5 linked regions of the Coturnix japonica genome follow. The protein of the gene in region 1 binds, or shares a complex with, the protein of each later gene. Links are inferred from orthologs where the notes say so. Each region holds a gene or a part of one and is shown in the gene's direction. Other genes may lie near its edges. The genes, in order: F2, FGA, THBD, FGG and SERPINC1.

Evidence for each region.
Region 2: the proteins of F2 (region 1) and FGA are in contact, whole or in part, in a crystal structure (PDB 2A45), measured with the Homo sapiens proteins. The link is inferred for Coturnix japonica from reciprocal best matches to the Homo sapiens genes F2 and FGA. Residues at the interface, in NP_000497.1 of Homo sapiens: Phe382, Lys384, Ser385, Gln387, Leu423, Arg425, Tyr434, Glu439, Lys440, Ile441, Ser442, Met443, Lys470; in NP_000499.1 of Homo sapiens: Trp52, Pro53, Phe54, Cys55, Ser56, Asp57, Glu58.
Region 3: the proteins of F2 (region 1) and THBD are in contact, whole or in part, in a crystal structure (PDB 1DX5), measured with the Homo sapiens proteins. The link is inferred for Coturnix japonica from reciprocal best matches to the Homo sapiens genes F2 and THBD. Residues at the interface, in NP_000497.1 of Homo sapiens: Phe382, Ser385, Pro386, Gln387, Leu423, Arg425, Thr432, Arg433, Tyr434, Arg436, Asn437, Glu439, Lys440, Ile441, Met443, Lys470; in NP_000352.1 of Homo sapiens: Ser424, Cys425, Glu426, Cys427, Tyr431, Ile432, Leu433, Asp434, Asp435, Thr440, Asp441, Ile442, Asp443, Glu446, Asn447, Gly449, Phe450, Asp479.
Region 4: the proteins of F2 (region 1) and FGG are in contact, whole or in part, in a crystal structure (PDB 2HWL), measured with the Homo sapiens proteins. The link is inferred for Coturnix japonica from reciprocal best matches to the Homo sapiens genes F2 and FGG. Residues at the interface, in NP_000497.1 of Homo sapiens: His450, Pro451, Arg452, Arg461, Arg486, Ala489, Ala490, Leu493, Ile530, Val531, Glu532, Arg533, Cys536, Asp546, Asn547, Met548, Phe549, Cys550, His605, Phe607, Arg608, Leu609, Lys610, Lys611, Trp612, Lys615; in NP_068656.2 of Homo sapiens: Pro439, Ala440, Glu441, Thr442, Glu443, Tyr444, Asp445, Ser446, Leu447, Tyr448.
Region 5: the proteins of F2 (region 1) and SERPINC1 are in contact, whole or in part, in a crystal structure (PDB 1TB6), measured with the Homo sapiens proteins. The link is inferred for Coturnix japonica from reciprocal best matches to the Homo sapiens genes F2 and SERPINC1. Residues at the interface, in NP_000497.1 of Homo sapiens: Leu389, Leu390, Cys391, His406, Cys407, Tyr410, Pro412, Trp413, Asp414, Lys415, Trp455, Arg456, Glu457, Asn458, Leu459, Asn506, Thr510, Trp511, Thr512, Ala513, Asn514, Val515, Gln519, Arg541, Ile542, Asp562, Ala563, Cys564, Glu565, Gly566; in NP_000479.1 of Homo sapiens: Lys258, Glu264, Asn265, Arg267, Tyr285, Glu287, Gly288, Lys289, Glu345, Met347, His351, Ala419, Val420, Val421, Ile422, Ala423, Gly424, Arg425, Ser426, Leu427, Asn428, Pro429, Asn430, Arg431, Val432, Lys435.

What each region holds. Positions count from the first base shown.
Region 1 is NC_029520.1:20,933,984-20,938,123, reverse strand, and holds the start of F2 (prothrombin), read left to right. Parts: upstream 1-1,334; 5' UTR 1,335-1,373; coding exon 1,374-1,452; intron 1,453-2,368; coding exon 2,369-2,532; intron 2,533-3,007; coding exon 3,008-3,032; intron 3,033-3,211; coding exon 3,212-3,262; intron 3,263-3,782; coding exon 3,783-3,888; intron 3,889-3,967; coding exon 3,968-4,098; intron 4,099-4,140. UniProt on the Homo sapiens protein: Thrombin, which cleaves bonds after Arg and Lys, converts fibrinogen to fibrin and activates factors V, VII, VIII, XIII, and, in complex with thrombomodulin, protein C. Functions in blood homeostasis, inflammation and wound healing.
Region 2 is NC_029519.1:18,074,476-18,078,653, reverse strand, and holds the start of FGA (fibrinogen alpha chain), read left to right. Parts: upstream 1-1,377; 5' UTR 1,378-1,433; coding exon 1,434-1,484; intron 1,485-3,270; coding exon 3,271-3,399; intron 3,400-4,116; coding exon 4,117-4,178. UniProt on the Homo sapiens protein: Cleaved by the protease thrombin to yield monomers which, together with fibrinogen beta (FGB) and fibrinogen gamma (FGG), polymerize to form an insoluble fibrin matrix. Fibrin has a major function in hemostasis as one of the primary components of blood clots.
Region 3 is NC_029518.1:4,429,616-4,433,919, reverse strand, and holds THBD (thrombomodulin), read left to right. Parts: upstream 1-1,503; 5' UTR 1,504-1,757; coding exon 1,758-3,401; 3' UTR 3,402-4,257; downstream 4,258-4,304. UniProt on the Homo sapiens protein: Endothelial cell receptor that plays a critical role in regulating several physiological processes including hemostasis, coagulation, fibrinolysis, inflammation, and angiogenesis.
Region 4 is NC_029519.1:18,080,998-18,083,749, reverse strand, and holds the end of FGG (fibrinogen gamma chain), read left to right. Parts: coding exon 1-160; intron 161-855; coding exon 856-1,133; intron 1,134-1,473; coding exon 1,474-1,640; intron 1,641-2,026; coding exon 2,027-2,041; 3' UTR 2,042-2,249; downstream 2,250-2,752. UniProt on the Homo sapiens protein: Together with fibrinogen alpha (FGA) and fibrinogen beta (FGB), polymerizes to form an insoluble fibrin matrix. Has a major function in hemostasis as one of the primary components of blood clots.
Region 5 is NC_029523.1:4,512,219-4,516,236, reverse strand, and holds the start of SERPINC1 (antithrombin-III), read left to right. Parts: upstream 1-1,208; 5' UTR 1,209-1,345; intron 1,346-3,594; 5' UTR 3,595-3,598; coding exon 3,599-3,973; intron 3,974-4,018. UniProt on the Homo sapiens protein: Most important serine protease inhibitor in plasma that regulates the blood coagulation cascade. AT-III inhibits thrombin, matriptase-3/TMPRSS7, as well as factors IXa, Xa and XIa. Its inhibitory activity is greatly enhanced in the presence of heparin.

The sequences.
Region 1 (4,140 bases):
ACAGGTCATTCTGGCTTTTCCCAAAGGTGTCTTTCCAGAATCCAGGTGTGGTGGGCGAGAGTAGGGATACTCCTGTTAGATGAGGGCGGGAGCCTCTGCAACTGCTCTTTGTACCAACGGCCACAGAGTCATTCCTGAGCCACCCTAATGCTAATATTTGCACTCCTTCTATGGAGACAAACATTACAGTTGTATCTGCTGCACAGAGGCACAGAACAAAACATGCTCTCTGCTGGGAGAAACCACATTTATGCCCTGTAGCAGCCTCTGAGCCTACTCCAACCCTGCCCTGTTTTCTGCTGTTCTCTCACCATTCCAACTTTCTGCATGTAGGAATCACTACAGCATTCGCAGCTGTGGTAGTTCAACTCTTGACTTGCTTGTTAGCTGATGTTGTGGCACCCATATAACTCTTGCCTTCCTGTTCCCACAAGCCTTTGTTTTTCTGCCTGTTTCTGGTGTGCTTGCTGCTTGCTTGTCAGCTTCTGTTTCCTTCTGGATGTACTTTAATGTGTTCCACTGGCGTGGGAAGAGAAGGGAGAGACCAGACTTCAAACTACTTCACCCTCCTCCACCCCGCTGGGAATTATAATGCCACGGGAAGTATACACTGAGGATGGCATTACTGACCTAACTGGGAGGAAAACTGAAAATCCACAGAGACTGCAGCCAGCACCCCTTCTGCTACTTGGCATGGGTGAGGGAGATGGAAGAAACTTAAATTGTGTGTTCTCGTGCCAAATAACAGACTGAACCTGCTGATAACTGTGGGGAGAGAAGACAGCTGGACTCTATGGGGGAAAGGGATGGAACTTGCAACTAAAAACAGGAGGAGGACTGGGAATGGCTAAGGAGATCTCCAAGTCTTGCTACATGTGAGGCTGCTAGAGTACAGCATCCAAGAAGATTTTGCAGCAGGGAACCAAGCCCTGATGATGGGGACGCAGCAGTCATGCCAAGAGCTGCAGGAGAGCAGGGTGACACAGAGAGCAGCAGCGAGCTGCTTGGGTTGGGGCAGCTGGCAGGGACCTCTCTACCAGCCCAAGCTCTCCCTGTGCCCTGGTACAAACGTATCCTCTTAATCCTCATGCCATGTTATACACTGGGATGCTAATTTTAATCTGGAGTGTGGCGGAGTGTCCAAAGACATTCAGTTTGGTTTCCACTAATTAAGTATGAAAATGAAAATGCCCCAGAGGGAGGGAAAGATGCCAAGAGAGAAGGGATAAGAGGAGCCTCAGTCCTGCTGTCCCTGACACACCATGACCTCTGGAGTCCTGTTTCTTCATTCTGGTTTAATATTAACCCAGCAGGGCTGTGACTCCACTTATTCTGCTCCCTTTGCATTTCCTCTGCAGCCAGGGCTGTGCAGCATGGTGCATAGCAAAGCCACTATGCTGCAGGGCCTGCTCCTTTTCAGCCTCCTGCACCTCACCTTGAGCCACGATGGAGGTAAGAACACAGGGAGATGGGCAGTACTGGGTGATTAAGGAAGGAGGATGGGCTTAATTCCTTCGGGTGGTAAAGCCTGTAGAGGGTTTTCCAGGTAGTGCAGAAGGAGATTCTAAAAGCCTGTAACTGGGAGTGAAAGGGTGCAGAGAGGAGAGTGAGTATTTTGCTTCCCTGCCCAGGAGGATGCAGCAGCACCCAGCAGCTGGCAGGGAAAGCTGTGACAACAGCCCAGTGGATTTCACAGGTCACCTGACTGATGGTGGAGGAGAATGTGGCTCAGAACAAGACCCCGTGTAGCACAGCTGTGGGGCTTGTTAGTTCCTCAGCTCACCCCACTGGCTGCAACTCTGCATTGCCTCTCCAGCCATCCTTTATCTGAAGTTTAGGTCATACACAGTACGCAGCCTTCCTGCTTACTGCTCCTTTTTCTTTTACTAGAGCCTCTACTTCATCTACTTGTTTTTAATATGAGTTCGGGTCCTTTCTATCCCACTGCTGTGTGGGGCAAGACCTGTCACAGGTCTCAGATCAGGGCCTGTGAAGATGAAGATTGACTTTACCTATGCCTATTGCAGTAGTCTGAAATTGGCAAGATAGAAATTCAGTGGTTGACAGACAGCAGTAGCAAGCTCCAAGCAAACAAACAAACTAGCAGAGCAGATTTGCCAAGGATAGCAGAAGATTCTTGTCACTTCTGTGACCTGGACGAAGCCAATACTGACAGATGAATTATAGTGAGGCTGCTCTGACCATCAGCTGTGGACCTCACAGGTCCTTGACAAAGCTTCCCTTATCTGTACGGTGAGCTGGGGAGGCTGGGCTGTGGGAGCATTACACCAGCTGAGTGAAAACTTCGAGACACAGGGACCCTCCCACCATGAGCATCCCTTTGACTGGCAGTGTTCTGACTCGGTAGTTTTCCTGGAAAAGGGGCGGGCACTGTCACTGCTCAAGCGTCCACGACGTGCCAACAAGGGATTTCTGGAAGAGATGATGAAAGGAAACCTGGAGCGAGAGTGCCTGGAGGAGACATGCAATTACGAAGAGGCCTTTGAAGCCCTTGAATCCACTGTTGACACGGTACGTCACAGGCCACATCGGTGTCCTGCAGCCAGCTCCTGCCGTGAGACACGTGGGTCACAGACAGCCAGGGGCTGGGATCATAACAGACAATTTTGTGCTATAGATGGAAAGCTATTGTGCCTGTCACCCAGGGGGAGACAAGATATCCTTAGGGAAATTCCCTCCTAAAGCCACTCTTGGAAACGCACCACAAATCTCAAATTCTTTTTCCTCCCTCTCTATTTTAAGCGTGAAATGAAATAAAACAGAGCCTTCCCTCAACCCCATTAGATAAGAATTTCATCTTCATCTACTAGTTCACTATGGTGCCACACACATTTCAACAGCCACAGGCCCAGACACTGAAAGAACAGCTGACAGCAAACAAATTTTGAGCGCAGGTGCCTCAAGCCTCTTTGAGCTGAAACTGATGTGCTGCTGATCTCTACTCCTCGATATTTACGGTGATTTTTCTGTTTCTCTGCTTTTACAGGATGCATTTTGGGCAAAATACCAAGGTACGTTGCTTCAAGTTCCTCCATAACCCATCCTGGAGGAATGGCTCCCTACCCTCTTAAAAGAGCTCACTCACCAAGAAAAACACTTGTGTTTTGTCCCTAGATGATAATCTGGTTCAAACCATGATGCTTGTTTAGATTCTTTCATGTAACGTGCTTCTTTCTTCTTATTTTGCAAGTATGTCAGGGCACAAAGATGCCTAGGACAACTCTGGATGCTTGTCTAGAAGGTAAGAAGTGAATGTAGATCTTAAGATCCCAGATACGTTGAGTGCCAGGAATTTGCTTCATGCAGATTTTGGAAGGAAAAACAAAAATAATCTAAAGTTGGCAAGAAAGAAAAATAACAAGGGGAGTTTTAAATGCCTTTCTTGTTCTTTATTTCTCCATTATCTATTTTACAAACTGCCTTACTCCTCCATTGAAATGGCATAGGGTAGATACCCTTATCCCTGTGACAAAGTAATGTGGTCTTGAGTATAGCTCCAGGTTAGACTGGCCTCTCAGAGGCCAACTTCTCTAGCCTGTGCCTTATAGCCAAAGCAAAGCACAGAGCTTCGGGGAGAGCTCCATCTGATAAGGCAGAGCAAGTTTAAGTGATGTGCTCTTCCCATCTTACAAAAAGAATGCCCATGGTTGTGCAGGCTCACACACATCCACAAAGTTAAAGGAATCTGTGGTACTTCTGACACTGAAAAATACAACATCCATTCCACTGACCCAGGCTCACCTGTTTGGGGATTTTGACAGGTAACTGTGCTGTTAATCTGGGCCAGAACTATCGGGGGACAATTAGCTACACCAAATCGGGCATTGAATGTCAAGTGTGGACAAGCAAATATCCACATATACCTAAGTAAGTTCATCTCTTGCTTTCCCCTGCAGTGTTCTCCAGGGTGCCTTTCCTTCATAGCCTAACCACCCTTTCCTCACAGATTCAACGCCTCCAATTATCCCAACCTCATTGAGAACTACTGCAGGAACCCAGACAACAACTCAAGAGGTCCGTGGTGCTACACACGAGACCCAACAGTGGAACGGGAGGAGTGTCCCATTCCAGTATGTGGTATGTCTCAGCACTACATCCCAGCTTTTCTCCAGCAAGGGA
Region 2 (4,178 bases), on another chromosome or scaffold:
AGGCATAAGGCTGTGATCTTCAAGCAGAGACTTTGATGTCAACTGCATAAGCCAAATTATAGCTCATTAGAGCAAACGGGACACTGTCTGTGGAAACTGGCAGATGTTGTATATAGCTCATTTAAATCTATTCTTTTAAATAACTCATCACAGTCCTGCAATTCTTCCTCTTGTTGTGATCTTTTCACCCTATAAGCATTTTATTGTTGTCTGAGCTTTTTATGATTCTTTAAGATTGTTATAATTCTTTCACAGCACCATTACAAAAGAGTGAACAAAACTGCACAGGACTCGGACTGGGAAGGCATCTTCAGTCTTGCTGCTGAGATTAGCAGTGGACTATGTATGTGTGCCATTGAACTAATGCACACAATCATAAAAATAACACTTTTACAAAATTACATGCTAGGATAGCTTAGAATGGCAGTGGAGCATTTATGTGCGTAACTTTTGTCTGCTTTGAGTTCAGGAGCTTCCTTATGGACAGAACAGACATGGCTGGCTGATCCTCAGACAGTAAAGATAATGTGGAGTCTGCTCAGACCTGGGTTGCTGAAGTTAGCTGAGCTCTTCTGCTTCTGAAATGAGAAGAATTTTGTTATTTTGTTGTATTGTGGTATTAGTGGCACTGCACAGAATTCAACAGAACACTTCACAAAAGGAGCTGCAGGAAATTAAGATCAACAAAAAACTTTCTTTCCAAGTATGCACGGGTAAGATTTTGCCTTAAATATAACAGAAACCTCCAGTCATACAAATGATGGTGTAGGTGTAAATCAGTGACTTAAATCAACGTAGCACCATCCTATCGATCTGCTCTGTTCCTTGTAACTTGAGAATACAACTCACTGTTAGTGTTGTTTACATGAGTTCCGTTCTAATTTAAGAGGGTTTACGGAGACAAGAGAAGCATGCAATGCAAAGCCAGACATGGGAGGAAACAAAAGGTAGTACACTAGTACTTGCTTCCGAAGGCCCAATGGTTTTCATGAGCATGGAGCTTCAAAGAAAGGGCAATGCCTTTTTTTTTTTTCAAATATCAACTGCCTGATTGTATTCGCTAAATTCCCGCCACACAACATGTGTTTTCCATTAGTTAAGTATTGCTGGCTCCTGCTAGGACCCACATACACCCTAGATGAACAACAATTTACAAGAAATCAAGCTTGAAGCTGATATGCTTTTTTTTTTCTTTCCTGGAATACATGGTGTTGCCCTCATGGTGGTGCTGTACAAATTTATCTGGAGCAAATAACACCAGAAACTTGTGCAAGAGGCCTTATGTAATCGACTCAGGACATTTGACATGTTTTGTCTCCAAACAGAAGGGAGAATAATGATTAATCTCTGCTCTTCAGCAAGGTTTAAATTGCATCAAAAAGACCAGAGGAGAGAATCCTCTCATCCACAGTTCTGCTCGCTCTTCTCCGAAGATGATACCAGTGAAGATACTCTGTGTGTTGCTCTGCCTCAACTTAGCTTGGGTATGAGTTTCCTTACTTCATTATTTCCTTACCTTGCTGATTTGAAGAGTAAGAGTTTATTTAATCTGCATGAATTAGATGCATGTTTGCTGGCACCTATCTTGTCAAATTCAGTGCACACACATACGCACAAGCCTAGTGTGACTACTTCACTGCTGCTCTTTCATGACAGCAGTTCTTGTATATCCAGTTCTGTTTTGATTAATTCAGTCTTGTTGTACCCGCCTGCCTTCTGCAAAGCAAATAACACGAATTCATAGATTCACAGGTGCTGCTGTGAGCCTTAAAGCTGGCTGAATTGGATGCTGGAGGCTCCAGACAGTCAGGAATTTTCAAGTTTATTTTAATTCTACTTTCCTTTTCTACTTCCTCAGTTTGCTTCAACTGCACTTTCTAGCTACAAATGATGCACAATGGCTTTATTATGAAATTCCGATTTGAAAACAGTGATTCTTATGGCAGCAACATCAAATTAAACTAGAATGCAAGCAAGATGACAATAGATTATGGTCTATTATATTGCAACACATAATGAAACATTTATTACCTAAGATAAGCAAGAAGAAATTTTTAGATGAGGAAAGTGATAATCATAATTTTCAACTATACTAACATATCCTTGACATTTTTTCACTTATGTTTCAGCCATTAATCTCATGTTAGTCTTCTTTACGACTGTATTTTGAAGAAAGTAAATGCTCTCACAAATTGCAGAAATTATGGGGAGCAGATCTGGCTAAACACAAGCAGTTCTGCCGGAGCTGCCAGTGCTTAAAGGGCACAGACGACCTAAAATTAAATATTTTATTTGTTATTTTAGGGGACTCTTTGGCCAAGATGAATTGAACCAATGTGAAACTGCTGAGTTAAATAATGACATTCCAGTTCCACAGGGCTGAGGTTCTGGCTCTGAAGGCTGTAATTAGGAACACTCTCTCTGCATGTGAATTAATCATACATCTTTTTTGGCATGAATTATACTGTTTGTTAAGAACGTAATGCATATGAAGAAAAACCTAGGCAGACCTAATTAGATCTCAAGCAATCTCCTTTACATTTTATGAAAAAGAATTATTTTCCAGTTCTTTACTAAGCAATAATGCAGTAAGAATCCTTACAGCATGTTGGTTTAGAATTAGCTGGTATAATTGCACTTTGGTTTCTCAGATTTCAAGAAAAATCTCAGTTCATTTATTTCTGTTCCTTCCATTAACAAAGTGCAAACCATCCATCACTGACATTATTATTTTCATTACAATGCTATTAGTATTCTTGTTCTTTATGTCAGGCAAAACAGTGCTAGGAGCTTATAGGACTAAAAACAGAAACACTAATGAATGGAAATAGTAAATTCATGCATATCTTCAAGCCAGTTTTGAGTAGGCAGAAGGAATAGGATGAAAACAAAAATTTAAGAATATGAAAGCAAGTGAAAATGGAATGAAGATGTTTCAAAGTTAACTTAAGTAACTTCAATCTAATTTCAAGCTAATTTTGCATTTACATACAAAGCTCAGGATTATCTTGTAAAGATATCATCATTATCATCATACTCTAAGCACCATCCATTCTCCATATGAGCATTAATTTTAAGAGTGGAAAAGCTTTATTCTTACAAAACAAACAAAACCATGTCTTACAAGAAACGCCTTGCCACTATTGGATGATGCATTCCACAAGGCTGCAGTGCTACTGAGTGCTTGAGGATGTCAGCTTTTCATTTCCATTTTCTTGACCAGTGCTCCAACACTCTCAGTTTTGCTCTTCTCTTTACTCCTCCCGGCAGGCTCAGGATGGGGAGACCACCTTTGAAAAGGAGGGAGCAGGTGTGCGTGGCCCCAGGATTGTGGAGCACATGCAACAGTCCTCCTGCAAGTATGAGAAGAACTGGCCGATCTGTGCGGACGATGACTGGGTGAGCAATGAGCCATAGGGACAGCAGGGCACACAAGGACCCCTGCCCTTGGTTTAGGAGGTCTGATGACAAGATGTTCAGTAAAAGCTTCCCAATGGCTGACTGAATGTCTGTGTATGAACTGTTGGTTTGTCTCTCTCTTGCCTCCTGCATCTCAACTCATATCTATGCTACATTTAGAAGATGCAATCTTGCCTAAGAGTTATAACGTATAAGAGCAGGGGATTTTCTGAGGATAATTCTGCTTAAATGAATGAGCCTAGGTCACCCTTGATCAAGCTGGATCTAACTTCCCTTTACAGCAGCCCTTTGGGAAATAAATGTGGTGAGATTATTGTTTTGCTTTTATTATTGTTGTTATTAATATTGTTATTGTTATTTTTTGTTTTGTTTAATTTTGTTTCTACTCTTAAGGAACAGAGGAAAGTGAAAATTAAAGGTTCCTTTGTCACCACTTGAAACAGGATTCTATGCATACATTTCAGCAATTCCAATGCACCAGTGTCAGAGGTGCAAGATGTGAAGGGGTCAGCCGTGAGGTGTCCTGCTCCAAGTCATACAAGCCCTTGTCAAAGTCATTGGATGGATAGGACAGAAGAAGTCACATAATACTGCCCTAAGTCATATTAGAGTGTTTTAATTGCTGGGTATTGATTTAAAAAACAAAAAGACAGATTCATGAAGATTTTAGCACAATTATTTCTCTTCCTCTTTTAGGGTATAAAATGTCCATCAGGCTGCAGAATGCAAGGATTAATTGATGACACAGACCAGGATAA
Region 3 (4,304 bases), on another chromosome or scaffold:
CCCAATGCCCGCAGCCTCCCAGGAGCAACAGGAATTGCTCAGGGCTGGCAGAGGGCACATCAGGCTGGAGGGTGTAATAAAGTCACCTCCTCGCAAGGAGTGGAGTGAAGCAGCATGGATTTGCTTCTCTGCAGAGGATCCCGAGGGCTAATTGCTGCCGCTGAGCCTTCCAAGTAGAAAACATCCCTCACTAAATTGAAAAGAAGGGTCAAATGCCCTTTTCCTTGAGTGGCGAAGCTTTAGATGTTTGCTTTTCATTTTTATTTTGCTCTCGGCCATGTTCTGATAGGAGAGGTGGATCCCGCTAGGATAAAAGCACGGATGGGGCCAAGCTGTCATAAAACCATGAGCAGGAGGCGGCCTCCAACTCCTTCCCCTGGAGAGCCACGTGATTGTTTTTAATTCCAAACCCACCTGACTTTCTTTAATTCCAAGCCCTGTTCCGTGCGTAGCCGCTGCCATGCAGAGCACAGCGGATGTTCTTCTGCCCTCTCACCTCAAATCTCCTGGCCTTGCAAACTTGCAAAGGAAGCTCGCAAAGGGATTGCCGCTCACCCCTGCTGACATCGAGCCCCACAAGTGCAAGGAAGCGCTGTCCCGAGTCCCCCGCTAACAAAAAGCTGCGAAACCCCGAATAGCTTATGGACCTACTTTCCCCTTTCGCACAAAAAAACCTCGGTTTCTTCTCAAAAAGCGACCCGAGCACTGTCCGTCCCCCCGGCGCTGCCACCTGCCGCCTGCGGTTGGGATCGCACAGCCGTGCCGAGGGGTCCCGCTGTTACTCGGCATCCTCTCCCTGAAGCTGCCGGGCTGCTCCGGGCCACCCCCACGGCCGCCACTCTCAGGCAGGAAGCAGCACCTCACCCACTGCCCTCCCGTGCCGCCACCCCTGTCTCCTGCCTGTCCCGGAGGGTCCAGCAGCAGCTTCAGCTCTCCCGCGATTGCCTTCTGTTCTCCTTCTTATGATGTCCCCCTCTCCCCCTTCTCCTCGTTCTATCCCCCCCATCCCCCCTTTCTCTCTCTCCCTCCTCTCCTCTCCTCTCCTCTCCTCTCCTCTCCTCTCCTCTCCTCTCCTCTCCTCTCCTCTCCCTCCTCTTCTCTCCTCTCCTCTCCTTCCTCTCCTCCTCTCCTCTCCTCTCCTCTCCTTCCCCTCCTCTCCTCTCCTCTCCTCTCCTCTCCTCTCCTCTCCCTGCCTCTCCTCTCCTCTCCTCTCCTCTCCTCTCCTCTCTCTCCTCTCTCCTCCTCCTCTCCTCCTCCTCCTCTCCTCCTCCCCTCTCCCTTCCCCTCATATTTCCTTTTTTTTCCCTTTCCTTTTAGTTTTTCTTTCCTTTCCTTCCACCCTCTCTTTTCTTATTTTCACTTATTTTCTTTCTTTTTTCTTTTAAATCTATCTCCACTCTTCTACTGTTTTTCTTTTCTCCTCTCTCCCCTCCCTTATCCCCGCCTCCTTTCCTTCTACTCTCCCCACAACTCCCCCCTCCTCACCTCTCCCCTCCTCCCTTTCCCTCCCGCATCCCCGAAGGGGCGGCCGTCTCTCCCCTTCCCTGCCGCGGTCACGCCCGGCCGGGCCCGGCCCAGCCCAGCAGCACCTCCCGACTCGCGGGGATTTCCTCCGCGCCGGAGCCGCCCCCGCCGCAATCCCTCCCGGCCCGGCGGCGGCCCGTCCCCGGAGGCGCTTCCTTCCTGCGGCCGGAGCTCTATAAAGCGGCCGCCCTGGTCGGCGGCATGACAGAGATTCGCCGCGCCGGCCGCCCGCCATGCGGCGGCTCCCGCTGCCGCTGCTGTTGGCCGGACTGGGGCTGGGGCTGGGGCTGGGACTCGGCGAGCTGGAGCCGCCCGTCCCGTCGGGGGCGCAGTGCCTGGAGCACGACTGCTTCGCCGTCTTCTGGACTCCGGGGTCCTTCGCGGCTGCCAGCGCGGCCTGCGAGCGGCACGGCGGCCACCTGATGACCGTGCGCTCCACGGTGGCAGAGGATGCGATCGGGCTGCTGCTGCGGAACCGCGGCGGGCGGCTGTGGCTGGGGCTGCGGCTGCCCACCCCGTGCACCGAGCCGGAGCGGAGGCTGCGCGGCTTCCAGTGGGTGACCGGAGACACCCGCACCGACTACGACAACTGGGCGCCGTCGGGGCGGCGTTGCGGGCAGCTGTGCGTGGCGGTGTCCCGGGAGCTGAGCTGGGAGGAGCGGCGCTGCGAGGAGCCGGCCGACGGCTTCCTCTGCGAGTACAACTACCCCGACAGCTGCCCCCGCCTGCCGGCCGCCGACGGCGCGTCCCTCACCTACCGCACTCCCTTCGGCGCCGCCGGCGGCGACTTCCTGGCCCTGCCGCCCGGCTCCACCGCGTTCGTCTCTCCGATGGGGCTGCAGCTGCTCTGCGAGGCTGCGGCCGTCGGAGGGAGGACGAGGTGGGGCCGCTCCGAGCCGGGCGCCTGGCCGTGCCGCCTGTCTAACGGCGGCTGCGAGGGAAGCTGCGAAGAACTGGATGGGACTCCGCGCTGCTCCTGCCCCACCGGCAAAAAGCTCGGCCCCGACGGGCGCGGCTGCCTGTCTCCATGCGCCGGTGCTCCCTGCGAGCAACACTGCGTGCCCGACGGGGAGAGCTTCCACTGCATGTGCTCCGAGGGCTACCAGCTGGGCCCCGACGGCAGCAGCTGCCAGGACGTGGATGACTGCGTCAAGGTGCCCGAGGTGTGCGAGCAGGTCTGTCACAACACCGAGGGCGGCTTCGAGTGCCTCTGCCACCGTGGCTACGAGATGGTGGAAGGGCACTGCATGCCCGTCCCCAACTGCAGCACTGGCCCCTGCGACCACATCTGCGAGGACGTGCCCGGCAGTTACCGCTGCAGCTGTGATGACGGCTATGTTGTCGACCTGAAGAATCCCACCCAGTGTGTGAGGCAATGTGAGGATGGCAGATGTCTGGCTGAGTGCGATGCCACCGGCCTCTCCTGTGTTTGCCCCGATGGCTTTGTGACAGACCACCTGCCTGATGGTGTCACACTCTGCGTTGACATCGATGAGTGCGAGAATAACTACTGCGACCACAACTGCACCAACACGCCCGGCAGCTACACGTGCCACTGCCAACCTGGCTATGTGCTCGTTGATGTCAACGACTGCAAACCCATCTCAATGGAGGACAACGTGGATGAGTACTCAGGAGATTCTGGGCCCTCCCTGCCCTTCCCCAGCCGTGTCCCACCCAAGGCAGAGCACCTGCACCCTGGGGCTCTGGTGGGCATCACAGTGGGCGTGCTGTGTGGGGCTCTGGTGCTGCTGGCTGTCGGCTACCACCTGGCAAGGAAGCGCTGCCAACCCCCCAGCTCTATGGAGTACAAGTGTGGCAGCCCCCGTGAGAAGGAGATGGGGCTCCAGCAGGTGTCCGCCAGCCAGAAGGTGTAGGGAGCCTGGCGATGCACAGGAGACGGATGGAACTGGGTAACGTTTGGTTGTAACCCCCCTGGTTTTGTAAAGAGAAAGCAAGGAAAGCAGTTCGTGTCATTGGCTTCTTGTGTTTCCCGTGTCTGTTGCATACGGACCTCTGGCAGCGGAGCACTCAGATTGCCAGCAGTGCAGGGACCCCGTGGAGCTCACCGTGGTGGGGTTAAAGTGCTGATTTCTTTCCCCTCCCACCATTTGGGGACTGTTTGGGGGTGCAGTGGGTATTACAGGAGCACTGGGGTCATTTGTAGGAAGGGCATTTCCAGTGCTGGTGATACTGTGCCTTTTTCCTCTTGTGTTTTTCCTTTATATTTTTCATCCTTTTTAAATTTTTTCATCCAGGGATGAGTTGAATTTGTGTGGATGTTGAAGGCAAAACTTCCTGGTGATGTTTGTGTTCCGGACCTTGCTGCTTGCTTTGCAGGTGTGGGCTGGAGGGTAAATGGGGTGGGAAAGAAGAGTTGGAGGGGGGAAGATCCCTGAAGCAGCCCCCGAGGCTGTCAGTGCTGAGGGTCTGTGCCCGAGTAGGGGCAGCTGCCACAGTGCCAAGCTTTTCAGATGGGATTTTGGGCTTGGAGCTGAGGTTTGTCTGTGCCCCTCAGGCACAGAGCAATGCAGCAGCCCCTGAGATGAACGCCAGCTCCACACTGCCCCAGTTGTCGCTTTCCTGATGTAAATGGTTGAACCCACTGTTTTATACACCCAGCACATGTGTAAATACTTATTTATTTATTGGAAATATACCCTACGCCACGCGCAATCACCTCGTGATGTTGTGTGCAGACCAATAAAGCTTTTACTGTCTGATTTATAGAAACCTGGGAACGAGCTGTTCTTCCTGCCCTCCCTACAGCCTGACCCCCC
Region 4 (2,752 bases), on another chromosome or scaffold:
GGAGAAACTGGGTTCAGTACAAGGAAGGATTTGGACATCTGTCTCCAGATGACACCACAGAATTTTGGCTGGGCAATGAAAAGATTCATTTAATAACTACGCAGTCCACTCTGCCATACACCTTACGAATAGAGCTGGAGGACTGGTCCGGCAATAAAGGGTATTTGTTCATGAAGCCTCTGAAAATGGCATCTTAAAGCCTACTGCTTTTTCTAGTAGTTTTAGTTTGTACAGATTTAAAAAAAGCATGGCACTACTAGGTGTGTCAAGATGCATAAGATGCCACGTGGGCTCAATGGTTGGGCTGGGTGATCTTTTAGGTCTTTTCCAACCTTGGTGATTCTATGATTCTATGAACTCACAACTGTGGCAGCAGCCCTCATGTGTACATGTCTGAAGGCCACAAGCCAGAAACCGTAGTTGATTTGGCAGAATAGATCTGTTTCTTCTTTTCAAAGTTTCTTCACTTATGTCTTCAGTCCTCCAGGAGGGCTTACTACCTTTCCTATTTCTTGAGATACCTATTTCTTCCTCCCACCAAGAACTTCCTCATGACACGAGTAAGCCTAAGCTGTAGCAACTTGGGAGATAAACACATATGTAGGTGTATAATGTAGGTCTTCTGTGCATCACTGAAGAACAGTAGAGTCAAAAAATACATCTAATGGTGGATGACAAAAATTGGATATCTGTCACTGAACCAGTGCACAATCATTTAACAATAGTCCTTTTACAAAATTACATGCTAGGATGCTCTAAATCCCTTTTCTGCTGTTCTAATATCTGTGTATATTTCATTTGTGAACATACTAGGAATGCAGCATGCTTATACTCACTATTATCCTCTGTTAATAGCACTGCTGACTATGCGGTATTCAAAGTGGGATCTGAAGAAGACAAGTACAGATTGACCTATGCCTACTTTATTGGTGGTGATGCTGGAGATGCCTTTGATGGCTTTAATTTTGGAGATGATCCAAGTGACAAATCCTTTACCTACCATAATGGCATGCGCTTCAGCACCTACGATAATGACAATGACAAATTTGAGGGCAACTGTGCTGAGCAAGATGGATCTGGATGGTGGATGAACAGATGCCACGCTGGTCACCTCAATGGAAAATATTATATAGGTAAAATATCTTCTAAGTACCTATTTTCACATGGACAAATGTAACCAAGTACACCACATTTCAATGACATTGAGTATATTTTGCCACCTGTTTTTTCCAAAGCTGATGTGGTCCATTCTTTTCAATGACTGTTTATATTAACACCTGTTTATGGCAGTTCTCCAGCCCAGAATGGAATCCTTGGTTCTGATAGAAACAAAGAGAGGGAGAGCAGCACTGTGTGCAGCCTGTTAGTGTGACCAGGGATGCCATAGAGGTGTTGATACCACAACTACAAATGGGATGGTCACATTAATCATGTAGAAACAACTGAATGTTTTTCTCAAATTGATATTTTTAGGTGGTGTGTACTCAGCTAGAGATGGTGACCCAGATTCATATGACAATGGCATTATATGGGCAACATGGCGTGACCGATGGTACTCCATGAAGAAAACTACAATGAAAATCATCCCATTCAACAGACTCTCAATAGATGGACAGCAACACTCAGGAGGCCTCAAGCAGGTTTGATCATTGGACAGAGGAGATATTTAAAATAGCAATAAAATCTGGTTATAATTGCAAGTACAGAGCATGGACAGCTGAAATGTTATGCCTACTGCATCTTAGAGGCATCAGCTTTGTTTACCATTTTGTCACAGAAATATTTGCGTTTTGATTTTAGTTATACCTTCCTCTTCATTGTTTCTCTTAACAAATAGATAAGTAGATCATCCCAGGACTAAAAATAATTCTTTGTCTTCATTTGTTTTAATTGCTGAATTTTAAATTTCCAATTAGTATAATTATGCGTAAACACTATCAACATATAATTATCAAGTCTTATGTTCTTCATCTTTCCTTAGAAGAACACTGAAATACTGTCTTTTTTTCTTCTTTTTCTGTTGCAGGTTGGAGACTCATAAAGGGACAATTTAGTAAAGATTGATCTGAAAACAAATCTTTTATTTGTGTGACACTGAACTTATCTCACCTTCCTCAGTTTGGACATCAGTGTTGTAAGATATCATTGACTATAAAATGCCCAACGGTTTTCCTTGAGCAGTGCTTACCGCTTTATATGGTTATTTTTTTCTGTACACATCCCCAATAAATTTTTGATTATTACAGAAAGGCTGAGCTTGCTATTTGTGTTCTACTGTTAACCAAACACAACACACTAAACACTGTGACTGCTGGAAGGGTACTCTGATCAAATCTGGTTCAGTTATTCTTTCTCTTTATTCAGAAGTGTGAGTTGGAGCTATTTCTCCATAAAACATGGTTAGCTTTCAACAGCCTTCACTTTGTTTTCTGATGAAATTGTCAATTTGTGACACAGATCAAAGTACACAGCAACTTGAAAGGGATCTAGTTTACTGCTGAAGCCACTTAAGCAAGCATACCACAGGTTAGGAAGTATACTATCAGTGACAAAGATATTTTACTCCAAAGCATGCATATTGGTTTCTCAAATATTATTCAGAATACATGTTTGGCTTCCTATATAGCACATAGTACTACAGTGTACAAGGATTACACCTGAATACTACGTTCATTAACTTCTTATTTTAATGTTTTCAGCATCATTTTCAGACCAAAAAATAAAATAAAATTGTAGTGTTAATTATGTTTTA
Region 5 (4,018 bases), on another chromosome or scaffold:
ATTTTCTGCACTGGTGTGAGGGCTCCAGGATGCTCAGCTACACTTAAAACCAACTTGAACTTCTGTCAAGGTTGGCTGCTAAAAGAGATGTGAATTGCTGCAGTCTGGCTGAAGGAGCCGAATGGGGAGTTTGGGGAAACCTGCCATTTTTTTTCCTCTGGCCTCCTCAGGGATGGCTCTGCCCAGCCATCAGCTCTGGGTTGTTGGTTTGATCTGGACCAGCAATAAATTGCCACTTACCTACTGCACTTAAGATAGGTATTTATCAGCTCTCCCATGGGGTTTGGTTTGGGCAGCTGATGGGTCCCTTTGGCGCTACGCTGGGTTTGGGAATAAATACTTAGAGGAAGTCCCCAGCTTGCCATCTTCTTTCATTTTGCAATTAGCCTTGCCTTTAATAGGGCTATCATGGTAAAGGAGGTGTTCCCATGCTCTGTTCTAGGCATTCTGCCTGCTTGCAGTGAGCTGCAGTGCTGCTGTGCCTCATCACACTGCTGAGACTTAATTCCCACAGCTTGAGCTGTGTGGGATGTGCAGAACACAGTGGGTGCCTGCTCCCATTCCATGTGGCATCGAGCTGCCCCGCAGCACCAGATGAAGAGCCCCTGCTTGGATACAGCACACTTGGCTGGGAGCAGAGAGCATCTGATTCCTTCTGAAGGTCCCAGGGCTGTGAGCACGTCTCACCTCGGCGATTACACCAGCACTGCTGGGAGCACAGTGAGCAGCGCAGCTGAGCCCTTCCTTGCAGCACACAGCTCACCTCCTATGCCCTCCTGCAGTTCTTGGCTGCTTTGCATTGCTGGGTGCTGCTCGGAGGTCACAGTGTGACTTCTGTGCTCACTTTGTCCAAAGACAGCCCTGCTGTAGGATGGGTGAGAGCAAGAACAACATGTGCAAGACTGATGTGTTGGGCACAGCCAGTTTTCAGGTGGTACTTATGGCCGTGGGCTGTAACCCAGCCCTGCTTTGCAGGCCCTCCTCTGCAGCCAAGGACCACAAGTGCTGCTCCTGAGCTTTTTCATGAGTGGCTAATTATTTTATTGGCAAAGAAGGAAGGCACCCAGCGTTTCTAAGGGGTAGGTGGTCAAACTTTCCCTTGTCAGATTGAACTTTAAAACCTCTTTCAAGCCAAACATTGCTTTTTTGTTTTCCTGCTCTTTGTTTAACCTTCTGCAGCGGTCATCAGCCTTTGGCCCCAGCATCCTGCCCCCAACCTGCCTGCTGCTGGAGCACGGGAGCCCAGTGTGGAGCTGCTCTGTGTGTGTGGGTCTTGAGCACTCCTGTCCTCCTGGGGAATCTGCATTTGCATCCAGAACACAGGAGGCTGGAGGCACCAGGCTGGGTAAGAGAAACTATTTCCACTAATGCTTCATTTTTAACTGAACCCACTGCTCCATTTGCCTGTTGAAGGAATTCAGGCTGCTACCAGACTGCAGCTCCTCTTGATCTGGGGCTTCTGCTCACAGCATGGGGAGCTTAAAACATCACAGTTCCCATCAGGGAGCAATTTGTGCCCAGCTCACTGATGGGCTGTGCTTCACCTCATTTCTTTGTGGCATTGCTTCATGCTGTGGTGAGCACCAACCCCCCTGTCCCATGTAGGAACAGCACTGGTCTGGGGGGGGGGGAGCAGGAAGGGTTTTCTGTCCATCCTAATCACATTGAGCTGCTGGGCCCAGAGGAGTGCAGCAGAGATGCACAGATAGCAGGGGTGAATGCAGCCTTTGTTGCAGGACGAACGCAAAGCAGTGGGGGCACACGGGCTGTGCTGGCCACAGCCTGGCTGTGGGATTAGGAGTCCCCACATTTGCATGGAGCCCTCTGGTTTTTAGCTGAATCAGCAACTTGTTCCTTAGTTTTCTGTGCTTCTCACAGGGGTGACTGAAGCAGGACAGCCAAGCCCTTCCCCCTTAGTGTTCTCTTCCCTGCCAGTAACCCTTCCCAGGCAGCCATTTGCTGTAATGCTTTTGGGCTCCCTCCAGCTGATGTGTGGTGTGGACAGTATGAAAGGGAGGCCCCAGGAGCTGCTGGGGGAGCAGGGCAGCTCCCAGCCAGCGGTATGGCATGCAGCCCTGTGGGTCTTGTGTTCCCCTTCTGCTGTGTGCTTGTGCTGGGTATGCTGGGGGGCTGGGTTGGCCCCAGGGAGCTGATATATCAGATTGAAGGGGCTAAGAGCATAAAATCCCACATCCCCTCTAAACGGATGAAATCTGAAGCTGGGACGGGCTGTGGGATGCTCAGCAACCAACCGCAGGGCGTGCAGTGCAGCAGGATGGGGCTGAGAGCCCGGTGACCCTCCTGCAGGAGCTGGTATTGGGAAGAGTGGTGCTTCCTGCAGTGCTCCCACTTCCCTTCCTCCTGCCTGCTGTGGTGCTTTCAGGGTCAGTCTGTTTGACTTCCCACCCCTTTCAGGCTTTGCCTTCTGTGGTGCTGCAGCTGTTCCATGCATCTGTCCTTCACCTTCTTGCAACAGTGTGTTTGCTTTTACCACTCAGACTGGCTGTGTTCTGAGCAAAAACATCTTGTTGTACACGTCCTCTTGCAGTGCTTGCTGCTGCACTAACAGTTTGTGCTGGTGAAGGCCCCCAGGCTCAGTACAGCCCTGGTGCCAAATGAGGTAATTTCTGCTTTCATGGAAGAGCTGCAGCCCAGATGAAGACACAGACTGGTCTGGGTTGGAAGGGACCTCAAAGATCATCCAGCCATTGCATAAGAGTACAGGCAGGGGGTTGTGAAAGAGCCCAGAGCTCCCCACATTGCTCTGTGCTGCCCTGCTGGATGCTGGCAGCTCTGGCGGTCATTAAAAGAAACCTTCCATTTCCGCACTGATGGGGCAGCACAAGGTGACAGCAGCGGTGGGCACATGGAGTCTCACACCCTCCCTGCCCCCAGAGGAGCCATGGGGACATGAGCAAACCCACTGGGAGTCACACAGAGGGCATCTCTGTGCTGCAGTGCTGATCAGCCCTAGGGTGGCCAGTAATGTGCTGCTGGGGCTGGTGGGGATCTACATCCCCTGTTTGAGCTTCCTGCATCAGCAGTTAGAACAGGGCAAGGCTGAGGTGGGCCTGAAATCACAGCTGGAAACTGAAATGGCAGAAGAGCTCAAGGGAAGGAAGGAAACAGAACTGGAGAAGGAGGTTCCCCCAGGAAAAGGGGAAGGAAACCATCTAAAGCACTGTCTGAGGGCTCTCCGCTGCAGGGCTTGGGGCATGGAGTGCTTTCCCAGGAGAGAGAGCAGGGCAGGGTCTGTACAAAGCAAAAACGTGACTGCAGAGCAGAGCGGACTTTGGCAGCTTCCCCATAGAGTGATCAGAGCTTTGATCTATGTGTTTTTGCACCAGTTTGTCAGGGCTGCTTAAAGAAAGGACACCCGTGGCTCTGGGAAAGCACTGTTTTCATTGTGCTGTTTCTAAAAGCAGGGTGTGCTCAGAGCTGTGCTGCTCTGCTGGGGCTGTCCCGGTCCATCCCACAGCTGCACTACAGGAGGGTGATGGGAGAGGGCTGTGATGGTCCCTATACCCCAGTGCTGGCTGGGCTGGGGGCTCTCCGGGCAGGTGGGCGCACACTCAGCACTCCCTCTGTTTCCAGGACAATGCAGCTCTTCCTTGTGTGTCTCTTTGCCCTCTGGGGCATGGCTGCCCCTGTACGCTATGCTGTGGAAGACATTTGCACTGCGAAGCCCCGTGATATCCCAGTGAACCCCATCTGCATCTACCGCAACCCTGAGAAGAAGGCCCAGGAAAGTGAGGTGCTGGAGCCGGGGAAGGGCCGGATCCCGGGGTCCACCAACCCCCGTGTCTGGGAGCTGTCCAGGGCCAACTCGCGCTTTGCCGTCGTCTTCTACAAGCACCTGGCCGATTCCAAGGACAACGAGGAGAACATCTTCCTGTCACCCCTCAGCATTTCCACAGCCTTCGCCATGACCAAGCTCGGGGCGTGCGGTGACACCCTGCAGCAGCTCATGGAGGTTAGTGGCATATCCTCAGCCTTCCCCAGAGCTGCTACTGGGGCC